Linked DNA regions of Macaca fascicularis. The protein of the gene in region 1 purifies or fractionates together with the protein of each later gene. This does not show direct contact. Links are inferred from orthologs where the notes say so. Each region holds a gene or a part of one and is shown in the gene's direction. Other genes may lie near its edges.

Evidence for each region.
Region 2: the proteins of RBPJ (region 1) and FBXO42 purify together in Homo sapiens (affinity purification with mass spectrometry; 3 studies listed by BioGRID and IntAct, counting the BioPlex papers as one, with this or other methods). This does not show direct contact. The link is inferred for Macaca fascicularis from reciprocal best matches to the Homo sapiens genes RBPJ and FBXO42.
Region 3: the proteins of RBPJ (region 1) and MAML1 purify together in Homo sapiens (co-immunoprecipitation; 12 studies listed by BioGRID and IntAct, counting the BioPlex papers as one, with this or other methods). This does not show direct contact. The link is inferred for Macaca fascicularis from reciprocal best matches to the Homo sapiens genes RBPJ and MAML1.

Annotation. Positions count from the first base shown.
Region 1 is NC_088379.1:25,563,788-25,570,465, forward strand, and holds part of RBPJ (recombining binding protein suppressor of hairless), read left to right. Parts: intron 1-1,028; coding exon 1,029-1,169; intron 1,170-2,200; coding exon 2,201-2,356; intron 2,357-2,713; coding exon 2,714-2,817; intron 2,818-2,986; coding exon 2,987-3,302; 3' UTR 3,303-6,678. UniProt on the Homo sapiens protein: Transcriptional regulator that plays a central role in Notch signaling, a signaling pathway involved in cell-cell communication that regulates a broad spectrum of cell-fate determinations.
Region 2 is NC_088375.1:218,760,086-218,767,324, forward strand, and holds the start of FBXO42 (F-box only protein 42), read left to right. Parts: upstream 1-3,349; 5' UTR 3,350-3,571; intron 3,572-7,239. UniProt on the Homo sapiens protein: Substrate-recognition component of some SCF (SKP1-CUL1-F-box protein)-type E3 ubiquitin ligase complex. Specifically recognizes p53/TP53, promoting its ubiquitination and degradation.
Region 3 is NC_088380.1:186,604,582-186,611,782, forward strand, and holds the start of MAML1 (mastermind-like protein 1), read left to right. Parts: upstream 1-3,311; 5' UTR 3,312-3,460; coding exon 3,461-3,802; intron 3,803-7,201. UniProt on the Homo sapiens protein: Acts as a transcriptional coactivator for NOTCH proteins. Has been shown to amplify NOTCH-induced transcription of HES1. Enhances phosphorylation and proteolytic turnover of the NOTCH intracellular domain in the nucleus through interaction with CDK8.

The DNA of each region.
Region 1 (6,678 bases):
AAAGGGGAGAGGCTGTAGGAGATGAGACAGTGAGGAAGAGGCATTTCCGGAGAAACAGGTAGTGAGAGGGAGGGGCTGGCATGTAGTCAGGGTTTTCTTTACTTTTGGTTTTGAGGTGAGCGATAGTTATGTTTGTATGTTGTTGGAAGTGATGGATAGAAAAGGAAACTAAGAGTAAAAGTTCCGTGTCCAATCTTGCTCTTCATCATCATCATCTCCTTAGCCATTAATTCTAGGTGTCAAGTGTCATATAGGGTTTGATAGTATTATCTTTCAGATATTCATGTGTTTTGTGGACTAGTTGGATTATAAGATTTAGAGATCATTTGGACAGGCAGCCAGCCCTGGGATCAGGACATATTCTGGTCCTTCAGCTACTAAACTGGTAATTTTTAGCAATTTATCTGACCTTTCTAAGCCCATTTTGTAACCTATAAAATGAGTTTAATTTTGTTATGTTTTTAAATACGTAAGTTTTGGATAATGGATATAAGATGTTTGCACTGACAGTAGCCTTCTAGAGATTTTTCCATTTGATGTTGGAATATTTGTCATTTTATGCATATTATTGGAAAATATCATCAGAACTTGCTATTCAAAATATGGTCTGTAGGCCAGCAGTATTAACATCGCCTGGGATTTTGTTAGAAATGCAGAATATCAGGCCCCACAAGGGTCCTGCTAGATCAGAGCCTGTGTTTTTCACAAGAACCCCGGCTCATTTCAGTGCGCATTAATGTTTGAAAAGTACTGACCTAGAAAACAAGTGCCTGCCTGCCTGATTTTTTTTTTTTTTAAGATGTTCAGGGAAGAGGGTAACAATGTCTATATTCTGACCTGCTTGCAATCTAAAAGTGTTTTTTATTCCTAGTCTTTTTGTTTGTGAATGTTTTTATATATGTAGGCATATGACAAATAACTGATGTAGTATTATACAGTATATAACTTCTATGTACTTTTGATGTTGTACACAAGGAAAATCCTTTCCATGTATTGATGACCTTTTATTTCTTAATTGTCAAATGTAGATAATTAGGAAAGTTGATAAGCAGACCGCATTATTGGATGCAGATGATCCTGTGTCACAACTCCATAAATGTGCATTTTACCTTAAGGATACAGAAAGAATGTACTTGTGCCTTTCTCAAGAAAGAATAATTCAATTTCAGGTATGTTTTTAAATTACTGGTGAAATCTAAAATATACGAACTGTGAGGTTAGCATCTTGCAAAAATATGAAATTTTCATTTGCTGTTAATTATATACAAATACATGAAGCTATACACAGATAGGGATCTCAGGTATGAGCATCCTTAACACACAATCCTCAGACATGCAAGCAATCCTTCCTCAAGGAAGAACTCAAAATTATGAAAATGTTCTCAGAGAAAGAGTTAACATCTAGTTCTAGGGTTCTTAATTGAAGAACAAAGAGCCCCTCAGGATATCCAAAAATAGATTTTCAGTGCTCATTGAATCTTCTGAAATTGTGTGCAAACATTGTATAGACGAAGCATTTTTCTGGGTGAAGGCTCAAAATCTCATCAGATTTACATCGTGGTTTCCCAAGATAGTAACGATGACATGCTTTAAAAGCTAATGTTTTACATTTACTCAGAAGGCTTTCATGAGGTTATGACATGGGCAGATGATTTAATAAGATAGTCACAGTTTCATGTGAAACTCCTTTCCAGAGAGATGGCCACACACACACTGATGGGCATGCTGAGTCCCTGGTCTAGGTGTGTTAAGGAAGGGGTAGGTGCTTTGCCTTCCCATCTTGATTCCCTCCTATGGAACGTGCATAAGCTTATAGCTGTTGCCTAAGCATGAGGACCCCCATTCTCTTTCTTAGGAGTTCCCGAAGAGTTTTAAACAGCCATTTACATCACAGATATTGATCTGCTATTAATGAAATTTCTACCTGCATTGGTGTACTCATGGTTGCTCTGAAAGTTATTATTATTTAATATGTCACTGAAATAGTTTGTATTATAAGAAAAACTGCTGTCTGTGGGGTTTCTGTATTAGTATTCTGTTTGTGTTTATGTAGGGATGGGCAAAGCACCATGCTTTAGAAAGTTTATAAGTTTTTACTGAATTCTCTTAACTCTTGTCTGAGGGTTACTTTGGTAAAATTTTCTTATACTCTTAATGCAAACTGTATAAAACTTAGTTTCTAAACTTCTTTCTTTATTAGGCCACTCCATGTCCAAAAGAACCAAATAAAGAGATGATAAATGATGGCGCTTCCTGGACAATCATTAGCACAGATAAGGCAGAGTATACATTTTACGAGGGAATGGGCCCTGTCCTTGCCCCAGTCACACCTGTGCCTGTCGTAGAGAGCCTTCAGGTGAGACTGCCTAGTCTAAGTTGGCCTTTAGCTCTTTGCAGCTACTCTCAGCTATGACTTGGCATCATTTCATTTCATGGGAGTTTTGATTTTTCTCCAATTGTGTGATTTGGGGATTTTTATATTCACCATTTGTTGATTTTTAAAAAAACAAAATAGGAGGAGCGTACTTGCCAGAAAATTTAAATTTAAATAAACTTGTGTGTTATCTTGAAATGTTTTTAGCTAGCTTTGTAATAAAAAACATTTTAATTGCCCTTTTTTTTTAAACAAATGAAGTTGAATGAGAATCTAATTTGTGTACTTTAATGAAAAATGAAAAGTTTTCTCAGTGTTGTGATTTTCTATGAATTGCAGTTGAATGGCGGTGGGGACGTAGCAATGCTTGAACTTACAGGACAGAATTTCACTCCAAATTTACGAGTGTGGTTTGGGGATGTAGAAGCTGAAACTATGTACAGGTACTTGATAAAACTTTTTACATCATCCAGAGGTTGTGAGGGGTGTGGGTACAGGAGATTCTTTCCTGGCATTGATTGTAATGTGTTAAACAACCTTGTCTTAAGTCTCATTTTTAACATGTACTTTGCTTTTTAAAGTGCTTTTAAGTAATTTATATTTCCTCCTCAGGTGTGGAGAGAGTATGCTCTGTGTCGTCCCAGACATTTCTGCATTCCGAGAAGGTTGGAGATGGGTCCGGCAACCAGTCCAGGTTCCAGTAACTTTGGTCCGAAATGATGGAATCATTTATTCCACCAGCCTTACCTTTACCTACACACCAGAACCAGGGCCGCGGCCACATTGCAGTGCAGCAGGAGCAATCCTTCGAGCCAATTCAAGCCAGGTGCCCCCTAATGAATCAAACACAAACAGCGAGGGAAGTTACACAAACGCCAGCACAAATTCAACCAGTGTCACATCATCTACAGCCACAGTGGTATCCTAACTACCGTCTTTTTGCTAGGACTTAAACTGACTTGAGTGTGGCAAAAAGTCAAAAAAGGAGAAAAAATGAACAATCTTTTGTGGTTTCTTGGGAACTTTTCATACCAGGTGATACTATTCAAAAACCCCGTTATCTCTCTGCAAGTGCTGATTTGAAATGCAGAAGCCACAGTTTAAAAAAAAAAAAAAAAAGTCAAAATGTACAAACTATTGGAAATCAAGTTTTTCAGCTGTTTGGTTGGTTGGTTGGTTGGTTGGTTTTTGTTTGGTTTTGTTTAAATGGGCAAGAAGTAAATAATGTGGCTGGAATACAAGTTGAACAAACTAGAAGACACAAATCTAACACAGTTTTTATGGACCAAGGAACTTGTATATTGTATAAGCTTTAGTAAAAGGTACATTTTCACCATACCTTTTTTTATATCACGGTATTATAGTACACCTTGTTACCAAATAGGTTGTTCTCTTCCCCACTTACCTTTGAGCTTTTGCTCTAAAATACATTCAGGTTCCAAGCCTGACCATGCTTGTTTAATCTAATTGTCATACTCTTCCAGGTTTTTTTTTTGGTCTAGGCTGGAACTTTTTTCTTTTATTTTCAGCTGAAGTCTTATGACTTTTCGTGAGTCAAAATTGTTTGGATTTCAGCAAGTCAAATCTTGTAAAGGCCTATGTATTTTTTTTTAAGATTATATGAAGTCTGTGCAAAAGCTTTAAAAAAAAATGCCTCTGCCTTGCCTGCAATACATGCAATGTATGTTAACTTAGTCTCTCTTCTCAGACACTGTTGGTAGTAATTTCTGTGTGTTCCTTTTTTTTTTTTTTTTTAATGGACTTATAGTGGTTATCCAAGAGGTTCTAACATTCACATGCAATTTGGTGTGGCCATTTAGCCATTAATGAGTTAATGGCACAGAACATGTTGATATTTGAAGTGTTTTCTCCCCTTTTCCCATAACGTAAATACATAATGTGTGTTCCAGGATTTGTTCAGGTTTTTCCCCCCTCCTAATCTTGTACATAACTTGTATTATGTGTAAGTTAAACATTTTATTTTGAACTTGGAATGTTCCTAGTGATTTCATTCAGCAGGGTATTTTCTGCCTTGTTGGCAAGTGACAAAAAATATGGGAAGTATTTGCTACCAGTTGGTAGATGGTGCCCTTATGGTAGAATGAGGAAAATGTCAGCAAAAGCATGTTTTATTATCTTTACTTTTTTGGGGGGGGGTTGAAGGGGGTAGCTAGCCAGAACATCATTGTAATCTTAAAACATAAGATGCTTCTATTAGATGATCAACTAAAATAGCTGGAAGACAGTACTTTAGAAACAGATAGTTGTAAGATTATAAAATGCAAATGTAACTTATGTTTTCATTTTTTTCTCTGCCTTTTTTGTTTGTTTTCTCTTTTCCAGTACTGAGCATCTCCACAAACATCTCCTAACTCAGAAAATGTTTCTTTTCTTTTCAGTTGAGATTTGGTTGCATTCAGGGTTGTATGTTGGCCTTGCATGCTAAACCTGCCAGTTTTACCTTGCTTTCATTCCTGAACTTTGGTTATGCTTTTGTTTGGTTTCTTCGAAATTGCAGCAGACTCATTGGGCTACATTTAGTACAGGAATCACATATGTAATGTTATACGACACAGTCTAGTAATACAATCATCCCTCTTAGAGTAAAAACTACCTCTAGATTGTGGTAAGCTTTTACTGTCCCATAAAACAGGAGCCACAGTACCTTATGAATGCAAAACTGTAACTTCCTACAGTGTTTCCCTACAGAACATTGTCTTTCTGGTGTCCTGGGCTGGTTTGAAAAAGTTTCCATTAATAGACTTTTTAGAAATTATTATTAGTAGCATTTTTTTTTCCAGCTTCGCTGTCTTCATCACTCACTCTATGCTCAGACTATGCCACTGTAAATATTCTTCCTAACATCTTTAAATCGCCTTTTCCTCAGTTTTCAAGGGGAAAGTCATTTGTAAAGCACGTTAGGTGATTAAATCAGTTATTGCAGTTTTCTCTTACTGCAAGCCTTTTTAATCACCCCCAGGCTGCATTTTATTCTGTATCGCCTTTTTTCTTCAAATCTGCTCCAGTCACTCACATCTCTCTTATAAGCTAATCCTGCCTCACACCTTAAATCTGTTTCAGTGATCAAGGGCAGAACTCATTGTGGCCTTATCTTTCTTTGTTGTAACTGTTCACCGTCTCTTTCTTACAGACCGCTTATTTCTGAGTAATAGTTATTCCTCTCTGTGGAGTCATGGCAGGAGTCATTACACAGTGCTTTTGTTCAGAGCATGGACATGTTCCTAGTGCTGCTTTGCTTTAACGGCCACAAGTTTCCTCCACTTCCTAGGTTTGGTATTTAGTTAAGGAATCATATTAAATTAACCAATAACAAAAGAGATACTTTTGAAGAACAAACTATTCCTTACCCATTTTTGTAGCTCAAAAATAATTTTTCAAGTTCATGACTTTGTTAAAATGAACTTGTGCTTTTTAAACAAACGTTTGTTTTATTTTTATTGTTTCTTTCCATAAGATAATTGAAATATTATACTGTAAACCCTTTTCTCTCTCTCTCTCTCTCTCTCTTTTTTTGAAAAGTCCAAGAATCTACTTTTACAGGCATTTTTCCCCACCTATTTTTGGCCATTCTTATACCACAGACTAAAAAGTGAAACGATTTGTCCATTGTAGCTTTTTGTTTATCAGTGGTTTTTTTGTCAGCTGCTTAAATTTTTTCTTTCATGGTTTTGTGAATCATTTTCAGTATGATAATTTATAGGAACCTTGTCCTCTGGTTATAGTAGACTGTGTCCCCTCCTCCAGTAATGGCATTATTAGACATGCTGATCATTTACCCGCAGAAAGACTCTCTTCTTAGAATGGTGAGTGCTTCAGTTATAGTATGTTTGAATTTTTAAAAATTCTGTTTTAGAAATGTATCTTATGCTTTCATGACTTTATGCAATTTCTAAACATACACATAGAAGCTGAGTCTCTGATCCAGTATGTTTTTATTTGTTCCATTTAATTTATCACATAGATTGAGAAGGCAAGCTAAAAGCTTTAAAAATGCCCTTTATATTTTGAGTGATTTCAGAGTTGAACACTAGTATGCTATCTAAATTTGCTGCTCATTTCTTTAATCTGTGGCAATTAAAGGCATCCTTATACATGACTTAATCGTGAAATGTTTGTCACTTTTACTGCACAGACTTATCTGCAATCATAACTGGTTAGTTCTTTTTGTTTTGTTGTTTTTAATGAAACTGGTACCATCTGTGCTTTCACAAAAAACTTCCAATGCCGTTTTTGAGAACTAACCTAACTAGTCATGCTAACCAGAAAATCCACTGGGGAGGAGG
Region 2 (7,239 bases), on another chromosome or scaffold:
CCAAAGTGCTAGGATTACAGCCATGAGCCACTGCACCTGGCTTTTTTTTTTTTTTGACAGATTTTTGCTTTTGTTGCCCAGGCTAGAGTGCAATGGCATGATCTCGGCTCACCACAACCTCCGCCTCGTGTGTTCAAGCGATTCTCCTGCCTCAGCCTCCCGAGTAGCTGGGATTACAGGCATGTGCCACCACACCCAGCTAATTTTGTATTTTTAGTAGAAACGGAGTTTCTCCATGTTGGTCAGGTTGGTCTCGAACTCCCAACCTCAGGTGATCTGCCCGCCTCGGCCTTCCAAGGTGCTGGGATTACCAGATTATCAGGTGCTGGTGAGCCACCGCACCCGGCTGCATTTTTTTTTTTTTTTAAGAGGTGGGGTCTCCCTATGTTGCCCAGGAGGGAACTCCTGGGCTCAAGCAATCTGCTCACCTTGGCCTGCCAGTGTTGAGATTGCAGGCATGAGCCACTGTGTCTGACTTCTGGGGCCTGTATGTTAAACCTGCACTCAAAACTTCAGGTGCTTTCGGTACACCACATAAAACACTTTGATGCTAATCAGAATACAAGCTCAAAGCCCATCATAACTTTGTATCTGATGCACAAGCTGAAGCTATATAGATAGTTGTGATACGTAAATGGCAACTTACCAATATTGAAAATGTGCAGGCTGGGCGTGGTGGCTCACCCCTGTAATCCCGGCACTTTGGGAGGCCAACGCAGGCGGATCACCTAAGGTTAAGAGTTCGAGACCAACTTGGCCAACATGGTGAAACCCTGCCCCTACTAAAAATACAAAAATTAGATCTGGTGCGGTGGCTCACACCTGTAATCCCAGCACTTTCGGAGGCTGAGGCAGGTGGAGCACGAGGTCAGGTGTTCAAGATCAGCCTGGCCGGCATGGTGAAACCTCGTCTCTACTAAAAATACAAAAAGTTAGCCAGGCATGGTGATGCGCACCCGTAGTCCCAGCTACTCAGGAGGCTGAGGCAGGAGAATTGCTTGAACCTGGGAGGTGGAGGTTGCAGTGAGCCGAGATCATGCCACTGCACTAGCCTGGGTGACAGAGTGAGACTCTGTCTCAAAAAAAAAAAAAAAGAAAAGAAAGAAATAAAAAAAAATAATAAGGCCAGGCGTTGTGGCTCACCCCTGTAATCCCAGCACTTTGGGAGGCCTAGGTGGGCGGATCACCTGAAGTCAGGAGTTGGTGACCAGCCTGGCCAACATAGTGAAACTCTGTCTCTACTAAAAATACAAAAAATTAGTCAGGCGTGGTGGCAGACGCCTGTAGTCCCAGCTACTCTGGAGGCTGAGGCAGGAGAATGGCGTGAACCCAGGAGGCGGGGCTTGCAGTGAGCAGAGATCACGCCACTGCACTCTAGCCTGGGCGACAGAGCAAAACTCCATTTCAAAAAAAACCAAAAACTACATTTGGCAAATAGCAAATTGGTTGAACCCAGGAGGCGGAGGTTGCAGTGAGTCGAGTTGGTGCCACCGCACTCTAGTTTGGGTGACAGAGCAAGACTCTGTTTCAAAAAAAAAAACATAAATAAATAAAAATAAGTAAATAAATAAATAAATAAAAACTACATTAGTTTGGTGCAGAAAGACTGGAAACTTGAAGTGGGGGCTTTCACGTTATAGGCAGATTTAAAAACTGTCTGATTGGCAATGAGTTGAAAGAGTTATCAATAGGCCTGGTGCGGTGCCACACGCCTGTAATCCCAGCACTTTGGGAGGCCGAGGCAAGTGGATTGCTTGAGCTCAGGAGTTTGAGACGAGCATGGGCAACATGGTGAACCCTGCGTCTACAACAAAATGGAAAAATTTGCCAGGCATGGTGGTGCCCGCCTGTAGTCCCAGCTACTCAGGAAGCTAAGGTAGGAGGACAGCTTGAGCCCGAAAGGCAGAGGTTGCAGCGAACCAAGAACTCATCACTAGACTCCAGCTTGGGCAACAGAGCCAGACCCTGTCTCAAAAAAAAAAACCTTATTATCAATAGAAATGAATGTCTGGGTTATGATAAGGGTTGTGGACACTAAAGTTTCATCATGCATGTGAAACCTCCAGGTGGCAGGCAGGCTCCAGAGAGAATAGATTGTAAATGTTTCTTTTTTTTTTTTTTTTTTTTTGAGACGGAGTCTGGCTCTGTCGCCCAGGCTGGAGTGCAGTGGCGCCATCTCGGCTCACTGCAAGCTCCGCCTCCCGGGTTCACGCCATTCTCCTGCCTCAGCCTCCTGAGTAGCTGGGACTACAGGCGCCCACAACCGCGCCCGGCTAATTTTTTGTATTTTTAGTAGAGACGGGGTTTCACCGTGGTCTCGATCTCCTGACCTTGTGATCCGCCCGCCTCGGCCTCCCAAAGTGCTGGGATTACAGGCGTGAGCCACCGCGCCCGGCCTATTGTAAATGTTTCTTAACAGTCTTAAGGTCTGTTGTGTTGATGTCAATGCTGGAGGGTGTAATGAGGCATGTCTTATGTCCCGCTTCCTGTCATGGCCTGAACCATGGTTACATTTTAGACTGCCCTGGCCTAGGAGGAAGTCCATTCGGATGGTTTTGCGGGGGGGGGGGGGCCTTAGATTTTTTTTTTTTTTTTTTTTTTGGCTTACAGAGTTTAGATGGAAGCCTTCGACTCTCTATCTGGCATTTCCTTAGACCATATGCTGTAGGGCTGGGCTCATGAAGGTTCTCACCTACACACCAGCTTGCTCCCTTGAGAAGGGGGACTTTGCTGGATCCTATCCCCTGGTGATAGCCAGTAGGAAGTAAAGGAGCTTGGGAACCAGACATGCCTGAGTTTAAATCCTCTTTCCCGCGCCGCCCACCTTCACTGCTAGGTGTGTGACTCTGGTCAAATAACTGATCGTTTTCTGTGCCTCAGTTTCCTCATCTTAAAAGCGGAGCTAGTAAGAACTCACACAGTGGTTGCTACGAGGCTACATTTAAGGGAGGCTTCTCTTGCACACCTCAGGCAGAGTTTCCCTCCCCTTGGCAGTATCCATGGGCACTTACATCGGCCACAGCCCTCTGTGCTCATCGGGCCCTCGGGGTAGAAGTGAGTTAATTCCTGGCTAAACGTTAGTCTCAAACCACTGGAAAAACCACCCAGTTGCCCCAGACAGTTCAGCGGAGGGTGGGTGCGGCTATGAGGCGACGCTAGAGACGCGGCGAAGGCGGGTGCGGAAGCCTGGCTACCCCGACCGCCTTCCACCTTCCAGAGAACCTCAGTCTGTGACCACAGCCCTTCTGAATATGGCGCCGCCGCCTGGCCGCCCCGCGACAGGCCGCCGCGCTGACGTGAGTGCGCGCGCGTCCTCCGCGCCCGCCCCGGCGCATGCGCGCTCTGCGCTGTCTTCTCCCGGCCTGAGCAGCAGCAGCTGCGGCGGCGGCGGCGGCGTTTGAGTGGAGGAAGATGGCGGCTCCGGGCGGCTCGGGGTCCCGCCAGCTGTGAGGAGCCCCGAGCACCGCTATCGCGGCCTGACGCAGAGCGCCTCTGCTCTGGCCCTGTCCCTGGCTCCCTCATTACCTTCGCCAGCGGAGCGAACCCGAGAGCGTGGAGCGGGCTGGGCCAGGTGAGGCCTCTCCTCCCCGGGCCGCGGTGGGGAGCCGGCGCCTCATGCCCTTTATGCCCGGGACTGGCAAGGGGCAGCGGGCGCCCGGGGTCTGGCGCAGGCCCCGTATCCTGCGCGGGGGTCGGTCCTGGTTGGGTAGGGTGCCTTGCTATCGCCGTCCTCGAGTGAGGCGAGGAGGAGAGGTCCTTTCCAGCCAGCCTTTTGGTCGGGAGCGAACCCACCCCCCTCTCCTCAGCAGGGTGGTTCTCGTCCCCTCACCCAGGCAGTGAAGGGGTCTGTGGCCCGGGCAAGGATGGCTTTAGGGTGTCAGATAATCCTTTCATTCCTCCTCCGAACCTTTCACTCCTATGCGAGAGGGGAGCCGGGGGTCGGGTGCGCATCAAAATTGGGGCTGCGGCTAGGGGCCAGCATCTCTGAACCTGCAGCTGCAAAGGGATAATTTTGGAATTGGTTTACGTTAAATAAAACACAAAAGGCCTTTCCTATCCCCTAGCTTGCTGCATGTTCCCCTAGAGAAATGGGAACTGCGGATTTCCTTGCTTGAGACAGCAATCCATGCTGTGAATGTGGAAGGCTTCTCTTGGCGAGAATTGTGTGTGCAAAGGGAACGGTGGAGGGTGGGAACGAATTTGTAAGCGAAGAGGAAACGATTGTGAGATCTTGATGGTCGCTGCAGAGTAACTTCAGCCCTGAGTTCGTTTGAAAGCTTCGGATTGTTAAGATTCAGAATAATCAATTGTTTTGTCTGTTAAATCTCCCGACTTCTATTAGGAAAATAAAAGCTTCATTTCTTAATTGCCAGCGTCTTTGAATTTTTCTATGGTGGGATTCTGATCGATCTAGATGAAAATTCTGATACATTACCAGTTCATACTTGCTGGCAGCGACATTGTAACTATGTTGTTCCTTTTTGAGAACAACTTTTGTTGTTGTTTAAATGCTAATTGGGAGACTTCGATTGTGTTTCTGTCATGTAGGGAAGTCGGTTTGAAGCCTTGTGGTCTCTTCCTTGAGGAATAATGACTTCATTGCACTTGCATGGGAAATTGTTGAGGCATTTGCTTTTGCTTGGACACACGAAAATACCTTTTGTAACAAATTGGCTTTATTTGTACTTAAGAATGATGACATCATGGATTTAAAGAGACAAGGAAAATTTGGAGGAAGTACAGTCATTTAGAATTGAACATTTAGAATTAAGTCTGTAGCTCTTACGGCCATTAGTGATGCTGTGTTAAATTGCTAACTTTCAGTGTATTCATATGTGTAATCTGATTGGATGTCTTTTCTATTGTATGTTGTCATTTTATACCCAGTAACTGTTGGCTTTTGACAAGCCAATATAAATACATGATTCAATCTACATTGATCCATAGGCATGTGGCATATCTTAAAAAGCTTTTCACTGTTAAAATGACAATTGTTTTAGGTTATTATTTGACCATTTTCTCTCTCTCTCTTTTTTTTTTTTTTGGTTGTCTCTCACTCTGTCTGTCACCCAGGCTGGAGTGCAGTGGCACAATCTCGGCTCGCTGCAATCTCCATCCCCTGGGTTTAGCCATTCTCCTGCTTCAGCCTCCTGAGAAGCTAGGATTACAGGCGTGCGCCACCACGCCCGGCTAATTTTTTTTTTTAAATTTTCGTAGAGATGGGGTTTCACCATGTTGCCCAGGCTGATCTCAAACTTCTGGTGTCAAGCGATACCCTGCCCCACCCCAGGCTTGAGCCACTGCGCCCAGCCACCTCTTCTATTTTTAAATCAAAGACTTTTCCATAGAAATTTGTTGATTTTCTTAGTGTCTTTGTAAAGATGTAAATCTGAACCAGCAGCTTCTCTGTGGTAGAAAATTGGAGAGTTACTTTGCATATCAATTTGCTAATAAAGAGTCATGAAATTAATGCAGTAAAACATCCTGGTGGCTCATCATGCTTCTTGGCATAATATGTTGCACTGTTATGCTAAATCATCATCAGGTATTGATGCAACTTCATGACATCCATGACATCACTTGCTCTCCAGATTTTGACTTTTGCAATTCCTTACCTTAGTTACAAAAAGAACAGGATCAGAAAAAAAATAACTTAGGATGCTTCTTTTTGTGTGATTTCTAGAAGGGTCTTTAATAATAGCTTTATGTAGTTTAAACCCTTAGTAAGATTCAGAGCAGGGTGAGTCCTACCTATTATGGAGAGCAAGCAAAGAAAATGCTAGCAAAACATCTGAATTTTATGAGAATACTGAGGTCCCAAGGAGAAGCTATCTCAAAGATGAACAAATATATAATTATCTTTGTCATTTCAGGATTGTTTTAGTCATTGAATTAACTCTTTTTGAGACGTAGTTTTGCTCTTGTTTCCCAGGCTGGAGTGCAATGATGTTGCTCAATGCAACCTCCACCTCCCAGGTTCAAGTGATTCTTTTGCCTCAGCCTCCTGAGTAGCTGGGATTGCAGATGCCCGCCACCATGCCCAGCTAATTTTTTGTATTTTTAGTAGAGACAGGGTTTCACTACATTGGCCAGGCTGGTCTCGAACTCCTGACCTCAGGCGATCCACCTGCTTCAGCCTCTCAAAGTGCTGGGATTGCAGACGTGAGACACTGTGCCCAGCCCTGAATTAATTCTTTATAAAATCAAAAGCCATTTGATTAAATAAAGCCCTTCCCATGATTGTTAGCGTGGATCAAAACAGATAGTGTTTTGAAAGTGAAATGTAAAATAAAATGTAAATATAAAATTGATTATTCCTATTTATGAACCACCTACTGAGGGCCCTCCATATGGCAGGCATTTTGGGAAGTAGGTACTAATTTAAGACAGCTTTTGGTCTGAAGTTGCATACAGTATGGCTGGGGAGCCAGACAAGGAAACCCGTTAAGTGCTATGTAGTCTAAGAAGTGCACTGAATCCAACCAAGAGAGTCAAGGAAGGCTTCTCAGAGCAGGGATGGCTTTTCCCCAGCCTTTCCTTTTATTCTGCAGAGCCTGCCTTTAGTGAGTGACTTGCTTTTTATAAAAACTTAAAAAAAATTATGTCATGAGTTCTTTTCCCCTTTTATTCATTCACTGTCATGATACTTCCCACACAGTATGCCCCAGTTATGGCTTCTGCATTCTCAAAAATCCAGCCATGTTGGGAAAACCTTTCTATATGAGTCATACACACAGGCAACAAACAAATACCGCAGCTGCAATTAAAATATCTCAGATTACTAAGTGGTGACAACTTTAGAGTGATGGTGCTTTTTTGTTTTTGTTTTGTAAACTAGTACAAGAGGTACTGTGTTTTTAATTTAATGACAATTAATACAGCAAATATTTGTTATTCCTTACAATGTTGATTATAGGTGGTTGTTAGTACTGTCTCCTTTTTCCCAACAATAAATAAGATCTTAATTCCTTTTTGATTGAAGGTGACCGCTTAAGTGAGAATTACACCAAACTTTTTTTTTTCCATGTTTTTTTTGTTTTTGATTTTGTTTTGAGACCGAGTCTTGTTCTATCGCCCAGGCTGGAGTGCAGTGGCACAATCTCTGCTCACTGCAACCTCCACCTCCTGGGTTCAAGTGATTCTTCTGCCTCAGCCTCCCAAGTAGCTGGGAGTACAGGCGCCTGCCCCACGCCTGGCTAATTTTTGTAGTTTTTTTTAGTAGAGACAGGGTTTCACCAT
Region 3 (7,201 bases), on another chromosome or scaffold:
GTTAAGCTTTATTGTGATTACGTGTATGTTTCTTCTTTCTTTTAAGCAGACCCATACCTTTCCAGGGTCAAAGTACAGAATAGAATACAATCTTTGATTTTTATCCATTTCTTTTACTCTGTGTAAAGACTTTAGAAGTCTAATTCACAGGCGAGCCAATACAGAATTGACTGCAGTTGAACAGACTAGAAGTATTTGTGGGAGGAATGACATGAAGCATGAGTTATCTGATTTTTTTTTGTAGCTGCTAAATATTTTAAGCCTTCATTTGCAATTCATGTAACAGTTGTGTCATAAATTACACAATAAAGCAGTCCTGTTCAAATTTTTTTTTAAATGTGGCTTGTAGAATTTTTTAAAAAGTGATCTTAGGTTTTTTCATGCGGAATGCAGATGGGTGCTATCAGAGCCTCTCCCACACCACTATAGTGTAATAATGTTATTATTACTCTACACTGAAACGTATTCAGAGTTAGATGTTATTTTAGCTTTAGTTGTTCTTTAGAGGCTTTCAAATGTACCGATGATACTGTTTCTTGCACTGATTATATAAACACTCCACAGTGTTTATATTGGGAAGATATTGGGAAGGAAATATATTTGTAAAAGATGAAGGCTGTATGTATTTTTTTTTCTTTTTAAACTGGTTCACTTAAATTCTTTAGAGGATGGGATGTATTTTTCTTGCTGAATGTTCAGTGCTTTTTCCTTTTCATTTGTTGTTCTGTGGTCACACTATGACCTTAGCTACATAGCAGACTTTCCCAGATGTATTGATTACAAATAAACAGTTGTTACTTAGCAAGACCTGAAAATATGTCTGCAGGTTTCTCCTTGAAGCAAATGTGTGGGATCATTGCATTTCCAGAAATCTGCCTCCTTCACCCTCCGTTGACAGTATATGTCATGCCTCACTTTCTTCTAGCTGAGCTTTAAATCATTAGAGCTTAAATTGTCAGATCGTTCATTGCCTTTCCAGGGTTATTTAGTAAAGTTTGTTCAAAACAAAAATGCCTTTTCTGGGTTCTTTTTTCAGTTTTATTTTGAAGGTCCAGCTTCCTGATTAAATGTCTGACATATTAATGAATGACCAGCAGCAGCTTTCAGCTCTTAAAAAGACACTTATATTATGATTTTACATGCTGGTTACCTGTTCCATTGTTGTCAAATGCCCACTCTCCATCAGATGTGTTCCTCTATTTTCTTGTCCACAAAGTACTCCTCACTTTTCAATTTGTCACGTTACTAAATGGTGTTACATTAAAGCCCTGTGTTAAGTGTCTGCTTTTGACTGAATTTCTTGATAGTAACCTTCAATGTGTGTGTGTTACTATGTTCAAGTGGGTTGATCTTCCTTTAATTGGCCACTATGTGAAAGTTCAATAATATGCAGAAACTATTATGGACAGTGAAATAATGATTTTGTCTCACCACATGAGTTTGATGCAGTCTTTTATGTTTAGCCCTTTCCTCTTCCTGCCCACATGATTGCAGTGCAGTAGTTTCTGTTGCATAATAGTGTGGACAGCAGCTCAGAAAAGGAGTGAATGCTACTGGTAATTTGTAGATAATATTCTTTAAGACTTGGGGGAACCATTGAACTTTGAAATGTTTATTAGAAAATTCTTTGTTCAGAATCAGACTCCATATTTTACGTATACTTAAATACTTCAGGGATATTGTTGAAAGCCCAGTTTTTTTATGTGCTATTAAATTTTTAGGTTACATACTGAAGAAAAGTATGTACACAGAATGTAGTGCTCCTAGTTACTATTTTTTCTGTTAATGAAATAGTTTAATTCTGGTGTAAAAGTTCTATGTTTGAATGCTAAAAAAAAAAAAAAGCTGGACTGCATTATGGCACTTTTGCCTTGGTGGCCCACCTTCTCCATTTGAAACATTAGTATTTGTATTTTTCTGCTGCGTTTGTATGAAGACATACTTGACTGTTCTCTTGATTTTAAAATAAAACCTCATGGGCTAAAAAGCTAGAGTAACAAATGTTTGAGCTACTGATGGTGTATCTCAGTGTGCAGCCTCCTGCCACCTCCTGCTTAACCTTTTAGCAATTAGAGTGCCAATATCTAGAGTTCCTGATATCCTTTGGCATCACACTACCTAGTTTTAGTACTAACACTGTTTCATTGCTCCAGTCCCTCTATTCCCCCTTGCCTATTAGTTTTAATTATGGGGCATAATTTGTCTTGGTTTGGTTTTGTTGAGTAACTCAGTTTTATCTAAAGGACCAATGTATTTGGCCGGGCGCGGTGGCTCATACCTGTAATCGCAGGACTTTGGGAGGGCGAGGTAGGCAGATCACCTGAGGTTGGGAGTTGGAGACCAGCCTGACCAACATGGAGAAACCCCGTCTCTACTGAAAATACAAAAATTGCCGGGCGTGGTGGCTCATGCCTGTAATCCCAGCTACTCGGGAGGCTGAGGCAGGAGAATCGCTTGAACCGGAAGGCGGAGGTTGCAGTGAAACGTCATCCTTTGCATTTCCAGTTCCCTCTAATGGAGCTGGACTCCTGCATGCTTTTGCTCACATCTTCTGGACTTTTTTAAAAAGTAGTGAGTAATACTGCACTTTTGAAACTTGCTCGGGCTTTTATAAATAGGTGGAAACTGACTACCAGTGATTCGGGATGGTGCAAGAGGAAACTACCAGCTCACTAGACGATTCTGACCAATTATGGGGCTGGATACAAGGAATAAGGTCAAAGTAAAACGGCTGAAGTTAAAATAGCATGGTTACTTAGAGTTCATCAAAGTCGAAATTTGAAAGATAAAAAGAAAGCTCTCTGTACCGCCAGGTGGGCGACGGGGACGGGCCAGCTGCGCCGCACCCGCCTGCCGGATTCCCGTTTCCTCGGGGGAGCCGGAAGGACCTGCCTTCAGCGGGCGACGTGCAGGAAACCAATAGCCGCCTCTTGGACGGACTCCTGTCAGTCACGCTTAGCCCCGCCCCCAGGACTAAGGCCCGCCCAGGGGCTTCCCTCCGCCCTTCGCTTGAGAGTTCCTTTTAAATACAGCTCTGGAGCCCGAGCGCGCCTCTTGCGTGCTCGTCCCCACGCCCTCGGGCGGCCGGTCCTTCCTTCTCTGATTGGCCGGGGCCCCTGCTCATCAGCCGTGACGCACTAGGTCTCTTACCAAGGCCCCGCCTTCTTCCGAGAGGCCCGAAAACAATTTTAAGATGGCGGCCGCGGAGGTAGCGCGGAAAACAATGGGGCCGGGGCGGTGGGGACAGGCCGAGGCTTGAGGTGGGCAGCAAGCGCCGGCTGGGGGTCGGGCCGAGCGGGGCAGGAGGAAAACCCGCCGCCGCGCGCGAGCCCGCTCCGCTACCCTCGGGGGCATGGCGCGGCCGTGAGGCGTACAGAGGTAGCCGCGGGGAGCGAAGCCCGCAGTGCCAGCCGGCCCCGAGAGGCCCGGCCCCGGGCCCGGCCCGTGCAGCCCGCGGCCCATGGTGCTGCCCACCTGCCCCATGGCGGAGTTCGCGCTGCCGCGGCACAGCGCGGTCATGGAGCGCCTTCGCCGGCGCATCGAGCTGTGCCGGCGCCACCACAGCACCTGCGAGGCCCGCTACGAGGCCGTGTCGCCCGAGCGCCTGGAGCTGGAGCGCCAGCACACCTTCGCCCTGCATCAGCGCTGCATCCAGGCCAAGGCCAAGCGCGCCGGCAAGCACAGGCAGCCGCCCGCCGCCCCGGCCCCGCCGCCCGCCGCCCCGGCCCCGGCGCCCGCCGCCGCCGCCGCCGCCCCGCGCCTGGACGCCGCTGACGGCCCCGAGCACGGCCGCCCGGCCACGGTGAGTAGGGCGCGGGAAGGCGCTTGTCGGGGCGGCAGCCCCCTCTCCCGAAAACGCTTCCTCTGACGAGGATCGGGCCGCTGGGAGACTTCCCCAGGCATCCGCGACTCCTGGATCTGGCTGGAGGGAGGGGAACATGGCAGGGAGCTGAGAGGTTGTCATCTTCGGGAAGTAGCACGGTGGCGTTACTTTGGGAAAACAGCATCGTGAGGGCCTTGCAGGAGGCCCGACCTGGGAAGGCTGGCGAACGCTAACCGGAGGGTGTTTCTTCCAGACTTGATTTCAGGATGTTGAGATCTTTATTCGAAATAGACTAGCATTCGAGTTGCCTGTGATGGAGGGAGTTCCTGCACCGTAGGCCTGGCCTCATTTATTCTGCAAATGTTTATTGGGTCCTTGCCCTTTACAAGATCCTGTGCTGTAAGCAGGGTCAGGGCTTTCTTATGGAAATAAGTCGGCCTTCGGTTGACCAACTCAAACTTCTCTGAATGGAAAATCAAGAAATCTGTGGAAAACTTAGTAAAACGTTCAGTGAGTTGCATATGAGTATTCCTTGTTTAGGTAGCCTGAACTTTGTGAACTTGAGATTCCTGCAATATTATTGACAATTCTAGTTTTAATTTATCAGGCCTGTTTAAAATCTCTAATGATGTTAGATTGTTGGTCAGTTATTACTCCCTTTGGGCTCTCAGTAAATGTTCCTGAAATTTGTTGGTTAGAGGTTTTTCTCCCTGAAACAGATTCACAAAAGAGACAAGATTTTTCAACGGTTGTCTTGGGGATTTTAGTTTAAAACAAATGTTAAAATCTAATTTGTTCTGTGTATTTTTAAATTCATACCTTTATTATCTCTCACCTGGGCTATTGCAGTGCCCGTCCCTAGCTAACTAACGAGTCTTTAGGCATCTAGTTTCTTTCTCTCTTCCTCTCGAAATGCTAGAAATCCTTCTATTGCTTGAAGGGATGAAGTTCAGAGTCTTTGGTTTGGCAATTGGGACCAGTCCTAACCTATCTTTTAATGTCTCTCACAGGTCCTCTGCTCTGGTTGAATTATATTTCTCATTCTCTTCTCCACTAGCCTTGATTGCTGGGCTAGAAGGGAAAAAACCACTCAGATTTCCTTGCTTATTGTATCAACTGGTCAAGGCTTCTCATCTTCGCTTTTGTCATCTGTAAACTAGGGGCATGTTGGGCTTATTATCTCCCAGTGTTCTTTCCCCGCCCTCCTCTCACTCTGTTGCCCAGGCTGGAGTGCAGAGGCACAGTCATGTCTCACTGCAGCCTCAACCTCCCTGGCTCAAGACTCCTCAATCCTTCCGCCTCAGCCTCCTGAGTAACTGGGACCACAGTTGCACACCACCACGCCTGGCTAAATAAAAAAAGTTTTTTTTCTGTTAGATATGGGGGTCTCATTATATTGCCTAGGCTGGTCTTGAACTCCTGGGCTCAAGTGATCCTTTCTTCCAGCTTGGCCTCTCAAAGTACTGAGGTTATAGGCATGAGCCACCTCACCCTGCCACCCCCAGGGTTCTTTTAAAAATAAAAAGAAAGGAGTGTGGACTTGAAAATACAGTATTTCATACATTTAAAGACTGCCTGTGGGACCCTCCTTCATGCCTTTCAGAATCCTGCCACCCTGCCAGTCCCAGCTTATCTCTTTCTTCTGCCTTAAAGCTAGTTCCTGAGCACCCTAACTCACAGCAGTAAGAATCTCCTTTGTCAAAACATTTAGGAAACATATTGTCTATGCTATTTATTTTATTTATGTGTTTATTTATTTTGAGACGGCGTCTTGCCCTGTCGCCCAGGCTGGAGTGCAATGGCGCGATCTTGGCTCACTGCAACCTCCGCCTCCCGGGTTCAAGCGATTCTCCTGCCTCAGCCTCCCTACTAGCTGGGACTACAGGTGCTGGCCACCACGCCCAGCTAATAATTTTTATATTTTTAGTAGAGATGGGGTTTCACCATGTTGGCCAGGCTGGTCTCAAACCCCTGACCTCAGATAATCCACCCGCCTCAGCCTCTCAAAGTGCTGGGATTACAGGCGTGAGCCACCGCGCCTGACCTATTTATGTTTTTTGAGACGGAGTCTTGCCTTGTCGCCCAGGCTGGAGTGCAGTGGTGATCTCTGCTCACTGCAACCTCTGCCTCAGCAATTCTCCTGCCTCAGCTTCCTGAGTAGCTGGGATTACAGGCACACACCACCACACTCGGCTAATTTTTGTATTTTTAGTAGAGACGGGGTTTCTCTGTGTTGGCCAGGCTGGTCTCGAACCCCTGACCTTGTGATCCACCCACCTTGGCCTCCGAAAGTGCTGGGATTACAGGTGTGAGCCACTGTGCCCAGCCTGTGCTATTTATTTTTAGCACATGGTCACTTATTACTTTAGGTCGAATCTTTCCAACTAGACTGTCAGCTCTTGGAGGCAGGGAGGGCTTGGGCTTACAGTTGGGTAGTGCACATCTTAGGTGTATCTTAAGTGCCTGTTTGTTGAGTTATTGATACAAACTTGGTAGTGCTTTACTCAGTAATCTCTCCTCCTATACACTGACCTCAAGCAAGATGATGTAACTTCATGAGCCTCCTTTCATGGCTCAAGAGTAACAACTCTTGTAAGGCCTTTTTTTTTTTTTTTTAAAGGAGTCTTGCTTTGTCACTAGACTGGAGTGCAGTGGCGCCATCTCAGCTCACTGCAACCTCCACCTCCCAGGTTCAAGCAGTTCCCCTGCCTCAGCCCCCCAAGTAGCTGGGATTACAGACATGAGCCACCACGCTCGGCCTGTGTTAGGAAGGACTTTTAAGAGTAGTTTGTGGTCATTGCAATTGAAGGAAATAATGAAAGCTCATAAAAATCATAGTTTTATACACAAATAGTTGCCTTGAACCCTCCTTAGAAAGTATATTAGTGGGGGCTGGGCGCAGTGGTTCACTCCTGTAAATCCCAGCACTTTGGGAGGCAGAGGCGGGCGGATCACCTGAGGTCAGGAGTTCAAGACCAGCCTGGCCAACATGGTGAAACCCCGTCTCTACTAAAAATACAAAAATTAGCTGGGCATGTGATGTGCGCCTGTGGTCCCAGCTACACAGGAGGCTGAGGGAGGAGAATCACTTGAACCTGGGAGATGGAGGTTACAGTGAGCCGAGATCGTGCCACTGCACTCCAGCCTGGGCAACAGAGGAAGACTCTGTCTCAAATAAAAATAAAAAATAAAAATTAAAATTAAAAAAAAACGTATATTAGTAATGATTCAATTTTGTTTTAAAGTTATTCTAAGAATTTAGACCCTGTTTGATTTTTTTTTCAGTCCTGAGTCAGTGGAGGAAACTGGGCATGCTGTTTGAAGAGAAATTAATTCTGAGTGTGTTAGAATTTGAATCTAATTTGTCAGTCATTCCTT